Arabidopsis thaliana: one gene and its partners. The protein of the gene in region 4 interacts with the protein of the main gene of each other region in a pairwise test. Each region holds a gene or a part of one and is shown on either strand. Other genes may lie near its edges.

What was found.
Region 1: the proteins of AT1G08580 (region 4) and AT5G55100 interact in a two-hybrid assay, tested with the Arabidopsis thaliana proteins (one large-scale study listed by BioGRID).
Region 2: the proteins of AT1G08580 (region 4) and NAP1;3 interact in a two-hybrid assay, tested with the Arabidopsis thaliana proteins (one large-scale study listed by BioGRID).
Region 3: the proteins of AT1G08580 (region 4) and NAP1;2 interact in a two-hybrid assay, tested with the Arabidopsis thaliana proteins (one large-scale study listed by BioGRID).

Annotation. Positions count from the first base shown.
Region 1 is NC_003076.8:22,360,587-22,366,781, forward strand, and holds AT5G55100 (SWAP (Suppressor-of-White-APricot)/surp domain-containing protein), read right to left. Parts: upstream 4,239-6,195; 5' UTR 4,079-4,238; coding exon 3,808-4,078; intron 3,650-3,807; coding exon 3,489-3,649; exon of another isoform or gene 3,041-3,488; coding exon 2,306-3,040; intron 2,183-2,305; coding exon 815-2,182; 3' UTR 711-814; coding exon of another isoform or gene 695-710; 3' UTR 530-694; downstream 1-529.
Region 2 is NC_003076.8:23,030,856-23,036,204, reverse strand, and holds NAP1;3 (nucleosome assembly protein 1;3), read right to left. Parts: upstream 3,757-5,349; 5' UTR 3,588-3,756; coding exon 3,542-3,587; intron 3,460-3,541; coding exon 3,416-3,459; intron 3,288-3,415; coding exon 3,192-3,287; intron 2,983-3,191; coding exon 2,890-2,982; intron 2,758-2,889; coding exon 2,670-2,757; intron 2,582-2,669; coding exon 2,520-2,581; intron 2,432-2,519; coding exon 2,247-2,431; intron 2,115-2,246; coding exon 1,937-2,114; intron 1,850-1,936; coding exon 1,806-1,849; intron 1,660-1,805; coding exon 1,458-1,659; intron 1,362-1,457; coding exon 1,344-1,361; intron 975-1,343; coding exon 906-974; 3' UTR 512-905; downstream 1-511. Other genes in the region: AT5G56940 (Ribosomal protein S16 family protein), read right to left, coding at 4,005-4,233, 5,061-5,106, 5,194-5,326. UniProt on the Arabidopsis thaliana protein: May modulate chromatin structure by regulation of nucleosome assembly/disassembly. May function in nucleotide excision repair (NER). Involved in somatic homologous recombination. Could be involved in response to abscisic acid (ABA) and to salt stress.
Region 3 is NC_003071.7:8,436,602-8,442,035, reverse strand, and holds NAP1;2 (nucleosome assembly protein 1;2), read right to left. Parts: upstream 3,581-5,434; 5' UTR 3,436-3,580; coding exon 3,390-3,435; intron 3,286-3,389; coding exon 3,242-3,285; intron 3,014-3,241; coding exon 2,918-3,013; intron 2,789-2,917; coding exon 2,696-2,788; intron 2,474-2,695; coding exon 2,386-2,473; intron 2,282-2,385; coding exon 2,220-2,281; intron 2,138-2,219; coding exon 1,953-2,137; intron 1,870-1,952; coding exon 1,692-1,869; intron 1,605-1,691; coding exon 1,561-1,604; intron 1,478-1,560; coding exon 1,261-1,477; intron 1,165-1,260; coding exon 1,147-1,164; intron 1,065-1,146; coding exon 996-1,064; 3' UTR 535-995; downstream 1-534. Other genes in the region: RECA2 (recA DNA recombination family protein), read right to left, coding at 7-64, 248-304. UniProt on the Arabidopsis thaliana protein: May modulate chromatin structure by regulation of nucleosome assembly/disassembly. May function in nucleotide excision repair (NER). Involved in somatic homologous recombination.
Region 4 is NC_003070.9:2,714,444-2,718,314, forward strand, and holds AT1G08580 (uncharacterized protein), read right to left. Parts: upstream 2,090-3,871; 5' UTR 1,909-2,089; coding exon 1,747-1,908; intron 1,567-1,746; coding exon 1,500-1,566; intron 1,112-1,499; coding exon 1,031-1,111; intron 915-1,030; coding exon 853-914; 3' UTR 551-852; downstream 1-550.

The DNA of each region.
Region 1 (6,195 bases), on a different chromosome or scaffold from region 4:
ACATCCAACAAAGCATTAGCCAATGAAATTGTAGAACATAGATAGAAAAGTCTAAAAAGATAGATTCGATCCCAAAAAGAAGTTTTATTGAATAATATTATTGCCTTTTCAATCGAGAAGAGAGGCTAAGTAAGGTTCGACCGATAAGGGTAAACTTCAAGTAAATGCACTATGAGTCAGTCTATGACATTGACAAACAATTTATATCTTCTTTGTAGAGTTTCTTTCTTTATTACGTCAACAAAGTGAAAAAAAAAACTCACTCTTATCTTCACCCTTACTTCCAAGCATCTCAAAAGACGTTTTTTACATAATAGCCAGATTTGTGCTGAACACTTTCGTCGATGAGCGGCACCATTTCAGAAGTTAAAGTACGTCGTACACCTTACGTGGGGATGATAATGATGTATGCAAAAAACGTCTCATAAGTGTGAATCAAGTTTCTTTTAGTAATATTGTAATGCAAATTGGCTACTAAATAAATTTCTATGATAAGGTCTGATGATTAACTGATTAACAAAAGCACAGATTTTTCTTTAAAAGGTTTATAGTTTGCAAATGCACAGATTAAAAAGGTTTCTTTAAAAGGTCTTTTTCAGAGTAATTTCGTAAATAGTTTGCAAAATACATTAAAATTTAATATTACAACTCTTCTTCTCGTAGGCAACATCGGTGACCTTTATGCTTCAGATGCTCACCGACCATCTCCCCTGAAAACCGAACAAACCCGCTAATCGATCAGACCCAATCATTGACATTGTCAACTTAATACTAGTAGACACCTAAATAGAACTAGAAAGTCTTCAAGAGTCGTTCAGTTAGAAGAAACGTACAAGGTATCAGCTAACATGGCACGGATTTTGGCTCTTAGCTCATCCGAAACTTGAGATGGTTCATTTTGCAGATACGGGATGTTATCTCCAGGAGATGCTTTAAGATCAGACTGATCTGACTTTGAAACAGTCTCCTCTTCCACTGTTTTCTCATCTTTCTTTATACGTTTACTAGACTTGTGACGATGACCATGCTCAACGTCTGAAGAGTCCTCGTGCTTGCGTCTACTGGATCTGTGTCGGTGGTGATGATGTTCATCATCAGATGAATCACGGTGCTTTTCATGCTTCCTGGATCTGTGATGATGGCTACGCTTGTCCTTAGAATAATCAACGTCTTTGCTATGCTTACTGGATCTGTGTCGGTGCTCACCCTCATTATCAGAAGAATCATAAAGCTCATGCCTATCTGAAGATTTGCTGTGTCTGTGTCTATGACGCGAACGACTGTGATACTCATCATCTGAGGAGCTCTCATGCTTGTGCTTGTCCCGAGAATGTCTGTCCTTGGAAGAGTATCGTGTCTTATGTTTATGCCGTTTTCTACTACATGAATGCTTCTTATCAGTCTTGGTTTCTTCTGTAACTTCGTCCATGCTGCTCTCTTCCTCTTCTCCTTGTTCCATCTTACCATCTTCATCTCTCTGTGATCTCGAACGGTAATTCCTCTTTGATCGTCTTTCACTGTTACCATCATCCGCTAGTTTTGACTCAGCTACATATGGAATCGAGCTACTGTCTCTTTCTTTGGCAGCCTTAGCACCTAATCCAGAAATCCCAGAGTCCAACGGTTCGACTGATATGCTTCGCGACGGTTCAGCTTGTTGAACTGGCTGCGCATCAGGTTTTAACTTGGCCACAAACATTTTTGCACGTTTCAATCTTTCTGCCTTCAACTTCTGCTCTTTAGACAAGCCTGCTTCAGAAGAATCAGCTTCACTAGCAGCAGTCGAGCCAGAGAGTGATTGACCTGTAGATTTGGCCAAATCAGGGGACTTAGATGAAGGGTAACTCACATCATTTCCAAGGGTCTGAGAAGTCTCATCCATGGGTTTGCCTGTTAGAATCCCCAACTGGGGATTCCTTATGCCTCTTCTAGCCGCTTGAAGAATAGCAGCAGCAGTATTCGCATCCACATTGACCCTCATCTGCGGTTGGACAGGCTTGAATGGTTCATTGTGCAACTCGACCTTTGGTTTGTCACTAACCATTTTTAGTTTCTCTTTCTTGGCAGAATCATCTGGTAAAACACTCCCAAACCCGTGTTTGCTATCTTTTACAGCATTGCCCATCTTCTCTTGCTTCACGTCTTCTTTTCTGATAATAACGCCTTTGTCACCTGATTTTAACTGCATATGAAATCAACCAACGTTTTACATTTTAGTGAAAGTTACAATCACAAGGTTTAAAAAGCACGTGAAAACACACCAAATTTGTAGCAGGAACATTTTAAGAACTTGAAACAGAATTACCTCTTCGGCTTCTTGGAGAACCTTCCGATAATATGCATGGTATAAGCTAGATGGACGTAAGAATGGAAACATCCCGTATTTCACATCCTGTGCAACAAGAGTAGCCTCTAGTTCTTTCCCGTTCTTTTGAATGAAGTCTACTATCTTATCAATCACTCTTTTCATCTCAGTAGTCGGCTCCACAATCTGCAGTTCAAGCTTGGGTTGCGACTTATCAGACGTCACAAGTTTTTCTGTATTGATCTGCTTCTTCTCTACAACATTTACTGCGCTGACAGAGGGATTTCTTTTTATGAAAGATGCATGATCATTCAACGGCAGAGAATGCTTAGAGGCAATCTTTGCAGCTCCTTTCGACCCTTCAGGTCCATTGGAATCAGTTACCTTAACACCATCATCACCTTTGGCGGACTCACTTGTTTTGGAGTCGTTTGCAGACTCTTCGTTAGCATCTTCATCTTCTACAGTCCCATAAACCGAACCAAGCAATGACAAAGCTCCACCATCCTTCTCACTTTCGTTCTTTTTCTCTTCTACAGAAGACTTTCCTGTCAAAAGCTCTTGATGGTCAACAAGAAACCTAAAGTAAAGGTGAAGATGATGGTCTGGCATTAGGAACCCAAATGTAGGGTTGTCTCCTTGTTTGACTCTCAAGACAATTTCAGATTGCCCACCGTGTTTGCTTACAAAACTTGAAGTCCTAGTGATAATCTGATGTAATTTCTCAGTTGGAGGCTGAAAGAAGAGAGAAAAAAAATATACAAGAAAAAATTAGTAATGTGAAATATGATGAATGACACCTTTGGCAACTCGCAGGTATATATACATAATAAAACCTCACATAAGTATCGAGAACCATAAATTGCAAAATTCAGAACTGTATAGAAATGCATCATCTGGTGTGCAATCAGTTTTAAGGTTCTTGGTAAGTCATGAATTTTTATCATCTTAATCCCACCTGCACTGCCCCTTGTCATGGCAGCAAAAGGAAACAAGGTGCATGTGAATGACAACCTTAGACAACTCCATCTCTTCTCCGAGCATCTGAAACTTAGACATAGTAGTCCTTAGAATAACAAATGCACCTTTCAGATGTTTACGTGGCCAATATCAGTTTAAGTACCAAATAAGTTAGCAAAAACTAGCATACTGCTAAAGGGAACAATCTAAAGCAATAACTTACCAGGTTTTGACGTAAGTAATCAGGCACGGGGAAAGGCGGGTGAAATCCAGATTCCATATCAGCAGCATTTTTCTGGTCATTGACATCACTAGAGCTTCCATATGAAAAAGAGACAGCACGATAACCATCCGCATTTGTATTTGCTGAATCCTCATTCATATCTGGAGAGTAAAGCAAATCCAAAGGGCAAACAAATTAAGTTTCGATCTGAATTTTTCGTAATCATTCTCTAGAACAGTTTTATGTCTCTAACATAGCTAGTTCGAGTCTCTCTACCATATAGATTAACGGAGATTTCTACGGAGTTCATCATCCTTACCGTGTTCATCATCATCCGACGGAGATGGAGATTCCGACGGTAAATCTAGATAACGCTCGTGATCGAGCTCCGATTCCAAGTCAGCATCGTTTGAATTCGGACGACGGCGTTTGATACGTGGAGGAGGAGGAGAAGAGAGGAGATGACGAACATCGTAGCGGTCAATAAAGAGGCTGTTCCAGTCAACGAGCGCCGTCGGAGAGTTGACAAACGTTGCCATCGAATCATCGTCGAAAAAGAGAGCGTGACGACCAACAATCTCTAGATCCATTGTGTGATTCTTCTAAAGCAATGGAGAATTGGGATTTGGGGAAGAGGCTAGGGTCTGTGTAATCCGTAATTTGGAACCGGATGTTCCAAATTCGTGATTGACCCAAAGATGTGATGACTTACAAAAGAGATCAAGTCGACTAAATGACGTCGTTTATAAGACTTTTTTACTTGCCGTTTGAAAAGTAATAAAACCACACGCATTTGGGAGAAAATAACTAACAACGACGTGCATTCTTTATGTTTTTGCGTTTTCAACCCTGCTTAAGAAAGTTTATATTTTTTCCCCATAACCTTAACTTTAATAAATGTAAGCCACCCTAAGAGTGAAAAAGCAGTGAAATCTCCAAATTTAAAGTGCTTCAACATTTGTGATTTCATTGGAGAATTTTGCTCAATCTAGTATCTGCCTCGTCTTGATGTGACGGTTATCCACATTGAGTTTTTACTTTGATGAAAATATTATGAGCTCTCTTTCTTTCTTTTTTAGGTAACTTATGAACCCTCTTTCTTTGTCAGGGCTTTCAAGCTATCTCCTCATGATACAATGGTTAAGTGATTTAATATTCTCTCTATATAATTTTTGTAATTTTATGCATCTATCTAACCATGTTTGAACAACCTGTATGGCACATTGTTTTCAAAAGTTTCGAAAGCAATTACTCTGTAGAAATAATACTAATTAAACTAACGTTATCTAATTAAACTAACGTTAATGTAAAACGACTTTGCGTGTGGCTTAATAGTTAATGCAACAGAAAGATATCGTAGAGAAACAATAAGATTATCGTATAGGTCGGAAAATGACCAATAAGCAACAAGGGAATGGTTTTGACTTTTTTGACGTAAAGTTTATACATTGTTTAACAAATTGGAGGAAAGCGTTGACCTCTCTCTATTGCTTTCTTCAACACCGTATATAATATTTGTGCCTTGTGGACGTCTTTGACTGGTTTATTCAAGAATTTTCTTCGATAGTTCGATCGTTGGTGTATAGAGCTATATTAGTGTAAGCTACTATAGGGACATTCAAATTTTATATAACTGTTTCAAAAACTAAATATAGATTGTACACATTTATGCAAAAACATACATTTAACAAAGCAAGTTGTATTAGTTTAATTAATGGTCATCATCGTACTAATGGACATCATAATTCGGATTCCATTACACATATTTATATCAGGAATCACGGGTTTGTTTGTAACTTAAAATAAAGTGGAAAGATCTATATACCTTGTATTTTCATTTGTAATGTGAGATATTCATTGTCTCGGACATATCACTACAAAACGGACTATATACATTGGCGGACGCAAGTGTATAAGTACTGGGGCACGTGCCCCATGCAAGATTTGATAATTTTGAAGTTTGTTGTGCAATTTGTATTGTAGATGAAAGAATTCGTTTGTTGTGCCCCATGTTAGAGTGACTTTTTTTCTAGTCAGTTGGTTATTACTCATTAATTTTACTATTTTCAAGTAATAAATGTTTTCAGTATTTAACTTATTTTTACTTTATTTATCTTTTTCTATAACTGTTTGAAGGAATTATGCTAATATAAGGTACTGCCAATGTTGATTGACACTTCAAAAAATTTTCTTCCATTTACATGTCTTTTAAGAAATGTTCATATTGTACTTTATTTTAAAAATTTATAAATATGTTGTGCCTCGGGTTAATTATGGTTCTAGATCCGCCACTGACTATATATGTATACTATGAGAAATCATATGTCGGGTAATTATACTTGGAACTATGGTACCATATTAGAAGATTAGAGATAGAATGAAAAAAAGAGTTGAATTACTCCATGGAAAAGACTAAAGAGAACGGAGTTGTACATCATTTATGTAAGAGATTGTCTGATATGAACAGAAGACTAGTGACGATGGAAGGAACTTAGCCTTACAAAGCTTGCTCATGTGTTTCTAAAGTAAAAACTTTTATTTATTGACTTATATAGATTATTTTCATATTATTCTATTGTTACAAGTTACAATGTAAAAATGGCCTTTCATATATTAAATTATATAATCGTGGTTGATTGGGCGTATGCGGATCGAGAACTTTAGAATTCAAGTTAAAGCAAGTGTCCATTAGAGGCAGGATGTATAT
Region 2 (5,349 bases), on a different chromosome or scaffold from region 4:
TCACGCTTAAACAATACTCCAATATAACATTTATAGTCAATGGACGACAAAGCTGTAAAAAAAAAAAAAGTCAATGGACGACAAAGATTTGAAGTCAATAGTTTGATAACCTCAGGGTAATGTGAAATGATTCATTAGCACTAATTGTATTTGTAATTAACTGATAAAAGAATCTTCAGTCCTTGAGAGGACATGATTTGTTACGGTGAAGCAAAATATTCAAAAACAAATACGCATTAATCCAAAACCGTTGTTTGGTAGAATCAGCAAATTCCATTTGGAGTCAAAATCAACTATTAAAACAAGTACATATATTTTTTTCTGTATATAGAAAGAGTCCCTTTCGTGTGCATCTTTGATTTTAACGTTTACTATTTAAATGACTCAATTAATTGATTTATTAACGAATAACGACACTCACTAATGCTAAATTGCTAATGGTCACGGTGTGTGATTAATTTGACTTTGACCATAATGAAATACTAATCGACCCATTGAAGAAGAAACTACATGAAAACAAATTTCTTTCTGTTCTTTTTTCTTGGTTTACAATAAGAATAATACACTTATGTCCACACAAAAAAAACAATGATAAGATTTATTTATTTTTAAATTAAAGAAACCAAAAGAGACTTAATTCAAGTGGTAAAAAGATATAATTTTGACGAACACACCAAAATTCAACTTAGTGATTAAAAAAAAAAAAAACAAATGCACCAAAAATAATTTATCAAGTATCTCCACATGGAGAAACTCACTCTTTTGCCTACAGCAACATTCCTATGAGCAGTCTTCAAAACATTTTGCCTTACATGGAAGCAAAAAACTAGGCCATGAAACTTCACTCAAAACCCAAAACATTTGTTTTTCTTTTACTGGTTTTCGTTTAGACTTTTCGATTTTGTTTACTGTTGTTTGCATTCAGGAGGCCTCTCTCCTTGTTGATCATCGGTAACCTGAGGTCTCCCTCCTTTCTGCAATATGATTTCAAAAAGAGTATGACTATAGAATCCATCTCATTATCACAAACATAGCACAATGGTTTGCAAGTACTAGATTTAGCCTAAGCTTATAAATATGCATGAGAAGGATTCTACATAGTTTCATTTATAATTCTCAGTCATATAAGAGTTCAAGTTTCTATGATTCACAGATTCGTGCATAGTGAGCTTAATCAGTTAATTTCAGCTATCTCCTAATTCACGGGTCATGTTCTCTACTTTTTAGATCATGGTCTAGCCTATAAATGTCAATAGTTTATGACCGTTGTATGACTCATTGGTATCGGATTATCTAATTAACTCAGACAAATACTATAAGAAGGGTGGAATATGGCTATGTACCTTGTGTAAGACTGATGGCTGCATAAACATTCAACACAATATCAAAAAGTTAGTAACTAACTCAGAAAAGGTAATTCCATGACAAGAAGAAATGAAACAAGAGGAATCCAATACCTTCTTTTTGGTCTTGCTTACTTCTTCCTCCTCATCTTCGTCGTCTTCTTCCTCATCTTCGTCTTCATCTTCTTCATCCTCATCTTCATCCTCATCGATATCATCTTCATCGTCATTGTCTATTTCAAACTCCTCTCCCTCAATAGCCTCACCAGTAAACCATGAGACAGCATGAGGTATGATCTTCTCCCGGATTGTAGAACTGCAAGAAGCAAGGAATACTTGAATCAGATACTAAATAATGTATTAACTTTCCGATAAAAGATGCTAGCTAGAGCTCTTATACAGTTGGTAATAAGTTAGACGGAATATATTAAATTGACAGAGTTTATGTTCAAGAAGACGAACCCAATGTCATAATCTTGTTCCATCAGATTCTGAAGTTCCTCGGCCTGCACCAAGAACAGAAAACATTACTACAAAAGTATAATCAAACATAGTCAAAATAGGGCCTGTCTTAAAACCAAATGATATCATACTCTTTCTTCGTCAATGTCTTCATCATCATCAGGAACTTGGGGAGGATTGAAGAAGTTGAAGAAGCTTTCACAATCTTCAGTTTTGGTAATTGGCTTGGCATTCTTTGCACCTTTCTTAGGCTTCTTCTTAAGAATCTTCTGAGTTAAGCATTTTCCAGGATACCAATCAATCTCTGTCCTGAGACAAAGAACAAAGAATCAAAATCCATGTTAGTGCATAAGTCAGTACAAGATTCCGCAGCTCCTTGGAAGAATCTCAGAACAAAATATGCTAGGGAATAAATATTACAAAAAAGTTATCAACAATTACCCAATAGCCTTCTCAAGCAGAGGCTCATCTTCATCAATCATATGATACGCCTTTGTTAATAGGGTGTTTTTGAAGTAAGGATTCTGGTCGAAGAAAAACTCAAGTTTGAATCCCTTTGGTTCTTCAATCTTGCACCACTTGATATCTTTAAGATATATAAGGGCTCCTTCATCACGCTCTGTGATCTGAAATCAAAAGAAATTAAAACTCTGGTCAATTTCCATGGATATGATTAAGTAACTCTAAATGAACAATCATAGATGTAACACCAACCTCTTCAGATATAACATCATTATTTTTCAGAGCAGTCAGCCAGAAACTAGGGACTCCTTTCTCTGCAATCCAGCCCGGTGAAATAAGCAAATTGTTTTTTTCTTGCAAGAATGATTACAATTTACAAAGGCAAAGAGAGAGAGAGAGTACCTTCTGCAGTTTTCTCGTCTCCTTGGTCCATCTTAGCATCCTCTGGAGCCCCTTCAACTTCAGTAGCTCCATTCACAATCTCATAACGCTGCACATTCCAAATGTCAAGCCAGTGTCAAGAGAAATTCGAAGCTAACTAAAGCCAACACAGCTGGAAATAAAGAAAATACAGGATAACTAAATTTTTCAAAATAGTTTAATCTTGCTACAACCAAATTACCTTGTTATACAAAGGCTGATATAACTTTTGATACTTGGCTTCAAGAGCAGCTCTCTCCTCGCGGAATTTTGTCTCTATTTCATCATGTTTGCCCTAAAAAACGAAAAGGATTCTCAGATAATCATCAAAAGAATGCACAGCATTCTCATATAATCAAAAGCATACAAATATACATTTCAACATCATACTCACAAGATACCATATCAATCTACACCAATCTATTGAACAAAAGCTTATATAGGAAACGTTAATCACAACATAAGCATAGAGCTCATAAAAAGTGAATGGAAGTTTTCCCAAACCTGAATCTCCCGCAAAACCTCAACACGCCTTCTAATTTTAGGAGTCAGATTCTCGAGCACATCAGAATGTTGTCCAGCTAGATTCTGGAGCTTGTTCTGTGAATCAAACACATAACAGTTACAAAAAAATCTCCACAGAAACTATAAAATGACGAAACGCCCAAATTACATGTTCCTCTTCAAGTATAATGCAAATCGATATAAGAAGAGATAGAGAAACTCACCTTAAGAGCGTTGACAAGACCAGCTCGATCCTCATCTTTAAGAGCTGCAAACAAACAAAAAAGCTTCTAAAACTTTGACTAAGAAGAAGCAAAGCCGCAGAAACAAAATCGGAGATATAGATTTACCAGAAGTGAGATCGCTGACATTGAAACTGTCCTTATCGTTGCTCATTTTCTGGAAATTTAGAGATCAAAACTGAAAGATTTGAGAAGAAAAAGGATTGATTGAGAGAGAGTGTGAAGAAGGTTTGAAAAGAGGTGGAGAGATTGAGGAAGAAGAAGAAGACTTGAGGGTTTTTTCTGGGTGGCGACTAAACGCAAAACGTGGCTTCCTCCTTTATAAAATTTAAACCTAACAACTGCCATTCTTTTTTTTTTAATTCCCTCGCTGGCATTTTTATTTACTTTTTCATTTTTTAAAATCTAAAATATCCCAATGCAAAATATGTGCCGTTTCTGCAAAAAGTGCCAAACACCTTGCCGTTTATCGCCAAACAAAGGAAACAAGTCAGTTGTCTAATGCTGCATTACACAATATAATCGACAACAAAGTGAACTTGAAAAGCTACGATGACAGAAGGCTAATGAATCATGCACTCTTGGCTTCTGTATCCTCTTCCTTAGGCTGGTTATCATTGGCATTAACTGTTTTATTCTCTGCATCCACATAGCGACCAGTCATCGGATCAACTGGGCGTGTGTCTCGTGCTCCACCTTTACGTCCCATAGCCACCATTGGAGGAGGAGGAAGTAAACCGGATCTGAATAGGAGACGTTGAACCGGGTCTGATGGCTGAGCACCAACAGATAACCAGTACCTGTACAGAACAAGAGAATCAAACAAAATGTCCATTAATCAAACTATATGCATCCTCTGTTGAAACTAGTCATTCAGAACAAAAGAAAGACAGACCAGGATCTAACTTTTAAGTAGTCTTGACATGTGTTCTTCTAATATCCGGACATTATAATCTTAATTTTAGATGATGATAAAGAGCATGACAAGATTCTAAAGCTACATGACCATACAATTATGCAAAAGAGGTTGTATATGGTGAACAATTAAGAATGTAAGTAAGTGTGTATACGAATAGATAATCAACAGGTTCTTCATCTTACACTAATAAGAAACAATTCCAGAACTCAGAGCAGAAGTTCCATAGAAAGACTCAAGACTGGCGGAGAAGTTTCATTTGTTATATAACAAAACTTGTTGATGAATTTCCACAAATATTTCAGTTTTTCCTTTCATAAGTTAGTGATTAAATGAGGTAGAAAATTGCTTCAACTAATGGTTCAATACCATGAAGAGAAAGAAAGTGATCAAAACCAACCATGGGAAACATGTAGATTCATTCGCCTTTCGATAACAAAAACCATTCAAAGACTGAACTCAGCTCCTTTGTATCAGATCGAAAGATAGTTAACTATAACACAATGTTGACTATACAACAATGCATTAAGATATCTAGAGGCGGCTAGAAGCTAACTTTAGCAATTAACCAAAACACTTCAAATGCAGAAAAGCCTTAATCATCTAGTGAAGCATTCAGAGACCTCTTTCTGAGTAAATTCAACCCAAAACCTACCTGATTTTACCGAAAAAAACATAAGAAACTAGAGAATTAGATGAGAAGAAACATACTTAATTCGATCGAACTTGAGACCCATCCTCTTACCACCGTCCTGGCCTGAACACATAGACCAAGAGATCGTGTATTTTAATCGAAAACTCTACGAACAACACCAATTGGAATACATTTTGTTTTGTCAATCACCTGGCAAAGGATTGAAGTAACCTAAGACCTCAAGATGCTTCCCGTCTCTTGGAGATCTGCTATCAGCAGCCATAACCCTAAAAAATGGCCGATTTTTGCATCCAAATCTCGACAGTCTGATACGTACAACCATGTTTCTCCTCCCTTTTCACCGGA
Region 3 (5,434 bases), on a different chromosome or scaffold from region 4:
GACAACCTTTGGCAGCAAAGCCTCGGAGCTGAAACGATGTTCCAACCACACTTCTTCTAAGTAACTGCAAAACCCCATGAAACCCTTGTCAATAAACATTACCCAGAAAAAAAGAATGAATTCAAATTAAGAGACAACATTTCGGATTCTTTCTCATGAATGAATACCCAAATAAGCAATGAAAACGACAGTAACAGAGTTTTTTTAATTTCTCGTAATACCCAAATGAGAAACACGATAAACATACCTCTGACGAAAACAGAGAGCTTCTCAGTGAATAAACGTTTCGGAGAATCCTCGCCATAGAAAAGCACTAAAAAGCTTCTTCTCCACTTTTTTAAACCACAGATACAGAAACAAACCAAAAACTGGAAAATTCCAACTACCCAGAAGTCAGACTTGTATGAAAACGGAGAAGAAGAGAAATTTCACTGGAAAAAAAAAAGGAAGAGTTTTTTAGGGTTTTAGGTTTTCGTTTCCCTCCGTTTCAACTATTTTTTTTGGGTTTCTGTTGATCGGTCTTTTACAAGTCGGCAGAGATGTTTTTGACTTTTGTCTTTCCCAGAGAAACTCAAACCGATGTCTAAACCGGCTCATTGATGGGTTATGCAAACCGATAAATAAGATTGATTGGTTTTAATTATTTGACGGTTTGGTAATGTTGGTTTATAAAATTCGATCAATCTTAAGTAAACTAGATTGTCTCACAAATTCTCTCATTAACGAGGGAGGATAAATAGAATTGAATTCGAAATCTGACCAGAGAACGACATTAACTCGAAACAAATTCATAAGATCATTACAAAAGGAAAAATCAAGAGACACAAACCAAACCAAAGAACCCATTTTTTTTTTTTAAATAGCAAACCAATCACCCAAAACTGATATATAATAAACCGGACCATGACTCTGCAAATTAAAGAAACACAACCTCGGCTCAAAGACACTCTTCACTCTTCTTCTTCATCATAACTAAGCCAAGATTCTTCACTTCTTCACTGCTGCTTACATTCCGGTGGCCTCTCACCTGCTTGACCTTCCGCAAGTTGACTTCTTCCAGCCTTCTGTTCATTAAAAAAGGATACCTCAGGTTAGCCATTGCATTATCAACAAAAAAAAAAGATCGAGATTGATTGATTGTTAAACCTTGTGCCCAGCTGATGACTGCAACAAAACAAAAGATAAACCACCAAATCAGTTTCAGAGGTTTTAGTTTCCTATGTAGGAAGGTTTTAAGTAGAACAAAACCACATAATTTACCTTCTTTTTGCTCTTCTTTCCTTGATCTGCTTCTTCCTCCTCGTCATCATCCTCATCATCCTCCTCCTCGTCATCCTCATCATCTTCCTCGTCCTCTTCATCATCATCTTCATCAATCTCATCATCGTCGTCCTCAATATCAAGGTCATCTGCCTCAACAGCTTCACCAGTGAACCATGACACAGCATGCGAGATGATTTTCTCTTTGATTGTTGAACTACAGGATAAACAGTGGACAGACTCAGATCCTAGAACTGAACTAAGTGAAGAGAACTGAATATGAAATAGAAAGGTACACACCCGATATCATAATCATGCTCCATTTGTCCTTGGAGTTCATCAGCCTGTGAATATTAGATGATCAGATTAAAATCCAACACAATCTTAATTACTGACTCTAAAAACTAAACTGCTTATGGAGATGGAAATACCATGTCATCATCAAGATCCTCATCATCGTCAGGAACTTGAGGTGGACTGAAAAAGTTGAAGAAACTCTCACAGTCCTCAGTCTTAGTGATCGGCTTTGTGTTTTTGGATCCTTTCTTTGGCTTCTTTTTTAGAATCTTCTGTGTCAAACACTTTCCAGGATACCACTCAATCTCCGTCCTGAACAGCAGTAAACGACAGTCAATAAAGACTTATTGTCTTCAGAACATAAACAGTAAATACTTGATAGAGCAAAACATTACCCGAGGGCCTTCTCAAGGATAGGCTCATCTTCATCAATCATGTGATATGTCTTGGTCAAGACAGTGTTCTTGAAGTAAGGATTCTGATCAAAGAAAAACTCAAGCTTGAACCCTTTTGGTTCTTCAACCCTACTCCACTTGATATCTTTGAGATACTTGAGAGCCCCTTCATCTCGCTCAGTTATCTAAAACCGTGGAAAAAACCACATAATGATAAAGAGAATCGCCATTTTATAAACCAAAAAGAAGAATATTCTAATAACGAACCTCTTCCGCAGTAATTTCATTGTTCTTCAATGCAATAAGCCAGAAATCTGGTACTCCTTTCTCTGCAGAAAGACAGTTTCATATCATATAAAAATCATGAGTTCACCATCATCATCATAAGATACTAAAAATAAACATGTTTCAGTAAAAGAATCGATAAACACACCTTCAGCTGATTTATCTTCTCCTTGTTCGGATTTTACTTCTTCAGCTGCACCTTCAACTTCGACCACACCATTCACAATCTCATATCGCTGTGATGCAGAAGGCAGAAGACCATCAATATCAGTTACAATCACGAATGATGCAGAAAGAAGTGAAAACCATGAAGCACTAATCATTCACGTAAGTAGCAACAGAGAGAAGTCTTATTAAACCTTTATCAATTGAGGTGTCATCATGTGTTTCAAAGATATTCTAATAATAGGAAACTAAAGACCATAAGAATCTCGCAGAATCAAAGACCGTATTCAAACCTTGGTATATAAAGGCTGATATAACTTTTGATACTTAGCTTCAAGAGCTGCTCTCTCCTCAAAGAATTTTGCTTCCATCTCATCATATTGGTTCTGCAAAGGTTAAAATACAAAAGGAATCAGATAAATTTGCTCCACCAAAAACTCATTAGACCTGAACAGCCAGCTAATTCAAAACCAATACAAAATCCAAGATCATCTAAAAGCTGAAAATTTACTCACCTGAATCTCTCTTAGAAACTCGACACGCTTCCTGACTGGTGGAGTCAAGTTTTCAAGGACATCAGAGTGTTGTCCAGCCAAATTCTGCAACTTGTTCTGCAGCAAACACGTAAATCAAATCAGGAAAAGTCACAAACTTTCAAACAACCAAATTAAGATGCATAGACAATCCTCAAAACCAAAGTCAAATTCTCTAAGCCATAAGAATCAAATCAATTTCTCAAAACTAGTCAGGAAGAGAAAACAATCCCTAAAAGTTACAAAGATGAATAGCCCAATCTCCAGATAGTCATACGCAAATCATATCGTGAAGAAAAAACTCACCTTAAGAGCATTAACAAGCCCGGCACGATCCTCCTCGTTAAGAGCTATAAGCAAAACACAAAACAAGAGAAGCTTTTTTCAATAAATCAAGAGAACAAAAGAGAATCCAGGCCTCATTCTATAGGACAATAAGATTATAATATCTTACCGGTGGAGAGATCGGACATGTTCATGCTGTCCTTGTCGTTGCTCATCTTCGCAAGAAAAGAATCTGGCGGAGGAAGAGGAAGGATAAGAAACCTTAAAACCCTAGATTTTTGGGGACAAATACGAGACAGAGAATATATATATAAATAACTAAAAGGGCTTTGAGAAAATGACCAGACCGAAATAAGACACAACTAAAGCGAAAATAACAAATTTTTACATCAAAATTTGGCATGAATATTTGTTTTTAACATTTAAGAGCATTTCTGTTGATTTTTTTTAAAAAAAGGCTTTTAAGAGCATTTCTATTGGTTAGAAGAAATCTAGGTTGCATGGAAACTCGCCCCGAGGTCTATTTCCCATTTCCGAAACGTTACGAAAACAGAAACTCTCCGGAAACATGAAAAACGTAACGGAAACGCGTTTTTTAAAAATTTATGTTTGGAAACACGATGGAAACTTACGTTTTAAAGATAGAAACTCATGTTTCCCAAATAGACATACGACAAATTTTTTTCAACTTTGAAAATTTAATAACTAAAATTAAAATTATTAAAATTATTAATACATATAACTAATTTTGGAAGACTTTGAGTTTTAAGATATTTCTTTTGATAAACCAGATTTGAAAAGAGCTTTATATTATCTTTGATGAAACTAATGAAAATGAAAATGTTGGTCTAAATTAACTATTTGAACTTGAACCTTTTAATTTTTATCTTTTAGAATTTTAGTTTATTTATTTAATATTGATGTTTTGGACTTGTATTGTTTAAACCATTTTTTCTTTAATATAGTTTTATGTTAATGTTATATATATATATATATATATATGTATGTATGTGTATACGTTTCCAATCCCTAATTTTAAGAAAAAATCGTTTCCAATCCCTAATTTTAAGAAAAAATCGTTTCTCGTTTCCGAAACGTTTCGTATTCGCGTTTTCGTTTCCATTTCATTGCAACATAGGAAGAAACTCACGAGTCTTTTGATGATAGAAGTTTATTTATTTAACTAAAAATTTATTTATTACAAAAGTTTAACCTAATCATCAAAAAACAAATGTATATAAAAAAAAAGTATGTCATGAGTTTCTCAAGTGAAAAAAGAGTCTACTTTCTTTTAGCTCGAAGACAATTCTCATATTCTCATGAATGCTAGCTGATCACATGTTAATGCTTAATCTGGATTGATGCATTGTCATGAGTCACTCAAATTTCATATTAGCACACTATAGTAAGCAAATCTGATTGGAAAACATCTAGTGAGATGCTGCTTTGTTAGTTTAGGGAAAAATGCTTATTTGGTCCTAAAGATTTCGACTTAAGAATAGAGAAATGGTAAAAAAATGTAGAACATCATGCCAATCAAATGATACAAAAGTAACATAACCACCAAACGCATTTGCATGATCTATCTAATATTATATGTACCTATTTTGGTTTAAGGTCATTAATAAACTTGTTGATTAGTTTTTAATAATTTTGTAAAGTTTCTCAAACAATTTCTTTATTTTTATGATATTTTTCACAACTTTATTTTGTAAAAAAAAAGGGTATGATATTTTTCACAACTTTATTTTATAAAAAAAAGGGTAGAAAGTCATAAACCAATAACACAATAATTTAATTCATTATAATAATCATAGATTCTTTGTTTTAAATGAATTACACAAAAAATTTAATAACTTTATAAAAATATGAATCCAATAACTCTACATTTATGAAGATTTTATATTACTTTTTACAAATCTTAAACTAATAACACCAAACTTTAACAAAAAATTGAAAAATCTTTATTGAATAACAACAAATTCTTCATAACATTTTAAGTCACTGAAACTTCGAATACATCACAAACCAATAACACTCCCTAAATAAATTTATATATATTACTAGAAGTCTGGTTATTTGTTTAAATGTTAAAAGATATATGAATTTGTAAACTTAAGAGATTTATGGAATTTAGGAAAATATAAAAACAAAATCCTTATTCTTATTATAAAGTTTCTAAGAAATATACTGTATATTTTTTTCACCGAATAA
Region 4 (3,871 bases):
TCCCCTGAGCAAAATCGGTTCTTGGCCTCTGGGTTTACCTAGAGCAAAACCAGTTCCGATGGTTACTTGAGTTTTGCTCAGTTCTTATGGGATTGGAGTGGAAGGTCGTGCGCTCGGCAGCATGGAAGCTTTCTCCTTTCAATCAGCTTCAGTAGAGTTTTGGTTTCTTTGTTTGTTTTTTATTTGCTTTAAGAATTTAATGTAAATAAAAATCCAATGAGGATTATCATACAATGTCATGAAGGATCTATGAATTAGTATCTAATGTTAGTATATATTATGGTTTTTCCTAAGTTGGTACTTTCTCTGTTTGAAGTTTGATTATCATACATGTATTTGTTATGGTCCTCTCTTCAACATCTTTAGAATAAAACATATAAGATCTGCAAGGGCTTCAGATTTCTGTAGTGTGGTTAGTCTCTTGGGACATTACGTTACCATAGGACTAACGTCGACTATATTAACGTCACCTAGAAAAAGCTCTAGGATTAATGGTACTTTTTTAGTTTGGATTAGTGGTACTTTAACTTGGTTAATTTTGCTGTTTCAGTGAGAGAAAGGAAAATTGAGTTGGGTTTTTATCAAATTGCTCCATATTCTAACTCTCCGTCAAAGGCACCACATACCAGAAAGAATGAATACAAAATATGATATTTTGATAAGACAAAAATTAGATTGAGAAATTAAAGGATTCGGAAAACTTAAATAAAATCATATCAAACCCTCCATTCCTCTGCTTCGCATCCTCCGGATGCAAAAACACACGTTTCACATTTTTGAAAGAATCTAACCAGACATTGAGAAACCTCTATCATCCGTTAGAAGAAATGGGTTTACAGGTATACACGACACTCATTCTAGCATACAATCAGCAGATTTTTCACCACTGGCTTTCTGGTTTTTCTTCTTTTTGCCTGGTACATGTATGCAAAGATCTTGTTACTTTCCATTATCGGCAAATTTGAATCAAGTGATAATAGTTATTTAGACAGTATGAGATATCAGAGGCTGGCAAAAGCTTAAGGATTACCTTTATTATTTAGTTTGTTCAACTTCAAGCTCTTCTTAACGCTAAATTTTCTGGGGGATTTCTTGGAGTCTTCTGATGCAGCTGATAAACCAGACGGAAGAGATCAGCTATTAATTAAGCAAGACAACTAAATTTTAAAGTCACAAGACCAAAAGGATTCCAAACAAGCCTTTGTGCTGAATAATTTCGTGAGATACACAAACCAAATACAAAAAAAGGACATTCCTATGAATATGTGACCAATAGCTTTCAGGTTTAGGTTCAAAGTCTACATTGATAACCAAATTCAAGATATACTATACATTTCTAAGCATTGAGAGTTGATTCCTAACTGATATTTCGCAATCCCAATCGCAATAAAACAAGATTTCTAAGGACAAGACTTCATTCATGCTGTAAACAAAGTGAAGTCAAGAGATCAATCAACACATCAAAAGCTGAGTAGCTTTATTTCAGGGTGAAGATATACCTTGAGCAGAAGCCATCTCCACATCTTCCATAGTAACAAGACCCTTCTCCACCATATCTTTCTGCTCCTGTTGACGAATCAAACAACTCTTTCTTAACTACTTTAACCACTTGATATTTTCAAAACAGAAGCTCTAATTGCATTCAAAGCTTATATAACTACTCAAAAGACATGAACCCACATAGGACTATGACCTAGTGTGATTCTCCATCTTAGAATAAACCAATTAAATCAAGGAATTACATACTCTGCGCCATTTGCGAAGGAGCTTTCTCTGACGTTTGCCGGAGACGGAGGGGACCGGAGTTCTGGTCTTCAATTTATTGGTGAGAGGATCGCCGTGAATGGCTCGTTTTCTATCGGCTTTAGCCTCTCTCTTCTTCTTCGCAATCTCGTTGTACTTGGCCATCTTACTACTCTACCCAAACCCCTAGCTTCGACGCCTCGCTCACTTAATACCTAAAAACCAACTTCGATGCAAAACCCTAAATTCCACAGTCGCACGAATTCTATTTGGGCCTTTTCTCAATTTCTTATTTGGGCCTTTTAGATATCTTTTTTATCGTTGCTGCTTGAGAAAAATAACAATTAATCCGGTTCGGTTTGATTCGGCTCAAATTGAAAGACGTCAAATTATTGAAATCTGAACTTCTTCTTAAAATAAAAAAAATGTGAAATTTAATTACAAAAAAACAAAATGTGGCTAAACTAATTAGATTTAAGTGTTTAGATGGTTAATGGAAAGCTCTTAGCACATGCTCTCCAGCCTCATCTTCTCTCTAAACTATCGAAATTATGATCTCATCATTAGTATATATACATATAATTAATAATTAATGCATGCATTATCATTCACATATAGGATGTATTGTTGTTATTCCATTCGGTATTTTATATTTTAAAATGTTGATTATGATAAAAAGTCCCATATGGGTGCATGTGAAATATGAAAGGGCATATTATAAAGTTAGATTTGAGCAATTATTTTTTCCTTCTTATGAATATGATAATAGAGGATAAATTTGAAAGGACAAAGAACTTTAATTAGAGGTACTGTCCATATCTACCTTGCAAACCTACAACAATTAAATGTGTTGGACGAACCGATAGTCGATACTCGATAGTCGATAATGGATATATATGCTCGAGGTACGTAAAATTTAGATGTTAATCCGCAAGAATATATAGAGTTGTGCTAGATGTATTAATTAAGATATCGATCTCCAAAAAGTCTATACACTCACGAGAATATGTTTCATATAGTTTTTGGGATCAATTATGGTGATTCTTCTAATGTGAACATGATTCATTCATTTAATGGGTATATCCGATCGAATATATATGTTTTAGATTTTAAGAACAAAATAAAAATGATAGATGGCCCTTTTCGATGGTTCTAAACTTTATTTTGATATCGTGAGAGCACTTAATGCTACTTTGTTCTTCACGCAATCAGCATGCATATTTACTCACAAGTTGCAACCACACGAATATAAACAAATTCGGTTACGGACTTAGGGCTACATATTCAGTTACGTCTTGATGTCATATGCATAGTTTATTGAAGCTCCTTGTCTAAAAATGCATTAATATGCAAACTTTATGCATATATCATATGTATGGCCTTAAATCTCTCAACTCAAACTAATATACAGAGAAAAAAAAATTCTGATAATCGTATTTTGAAAAACATTAAAATCTGTGTTTATAAGATCTAGAAAAACATATATGTCTACATGAATGCAATAATTTAATTAATGTATTTGTATTTTTTTTTTTCAATGCATGTGTAAGTAGATATATTTGATGTATGTATATCTCTCTAGTCTCTACGTAGGTGTCATGGGACGTTCCTAGCTACTTGCAACTTGGCAATGGAGTTATGAACTTTCTTATTTCCTAATTTTAATTATGTTGGAACAACGTGGGAAGATTCTCTCACGACCATCATCTTTCATGTGTGTTTTTTTAATGACGCCATTCGAAACAAAACATTCTCCCGACTAATGAAGACATGCGGAAACTCAACCTAGCTCGACCGCCAAGGATGATATAACTAACCTTATAACCAATAAAAACTTTGCGTTCTTTAGTTACTCATATTTAAGTGAAGTTAAATCATTTGTAAAAAAACATTGTTTGTGTCAAATCATTGGTGAGGTAGAACTAAAATGGTAGTTTTCTTAAAAGACTTTGATCTTGCCTAATTAGCCATCATCTTTGAATAGAAAATAGTTATATTGGACAGTAAGTGAGACACATTCTCTGCCCATGTTTCACTGTCCCACAAATCTCTAATGAGGACAAAGCTTTACAAGTCACTCAGTGTTTTATGATTTAGCTAGCTGTTCAGAAACCCACGATTTCTTCAT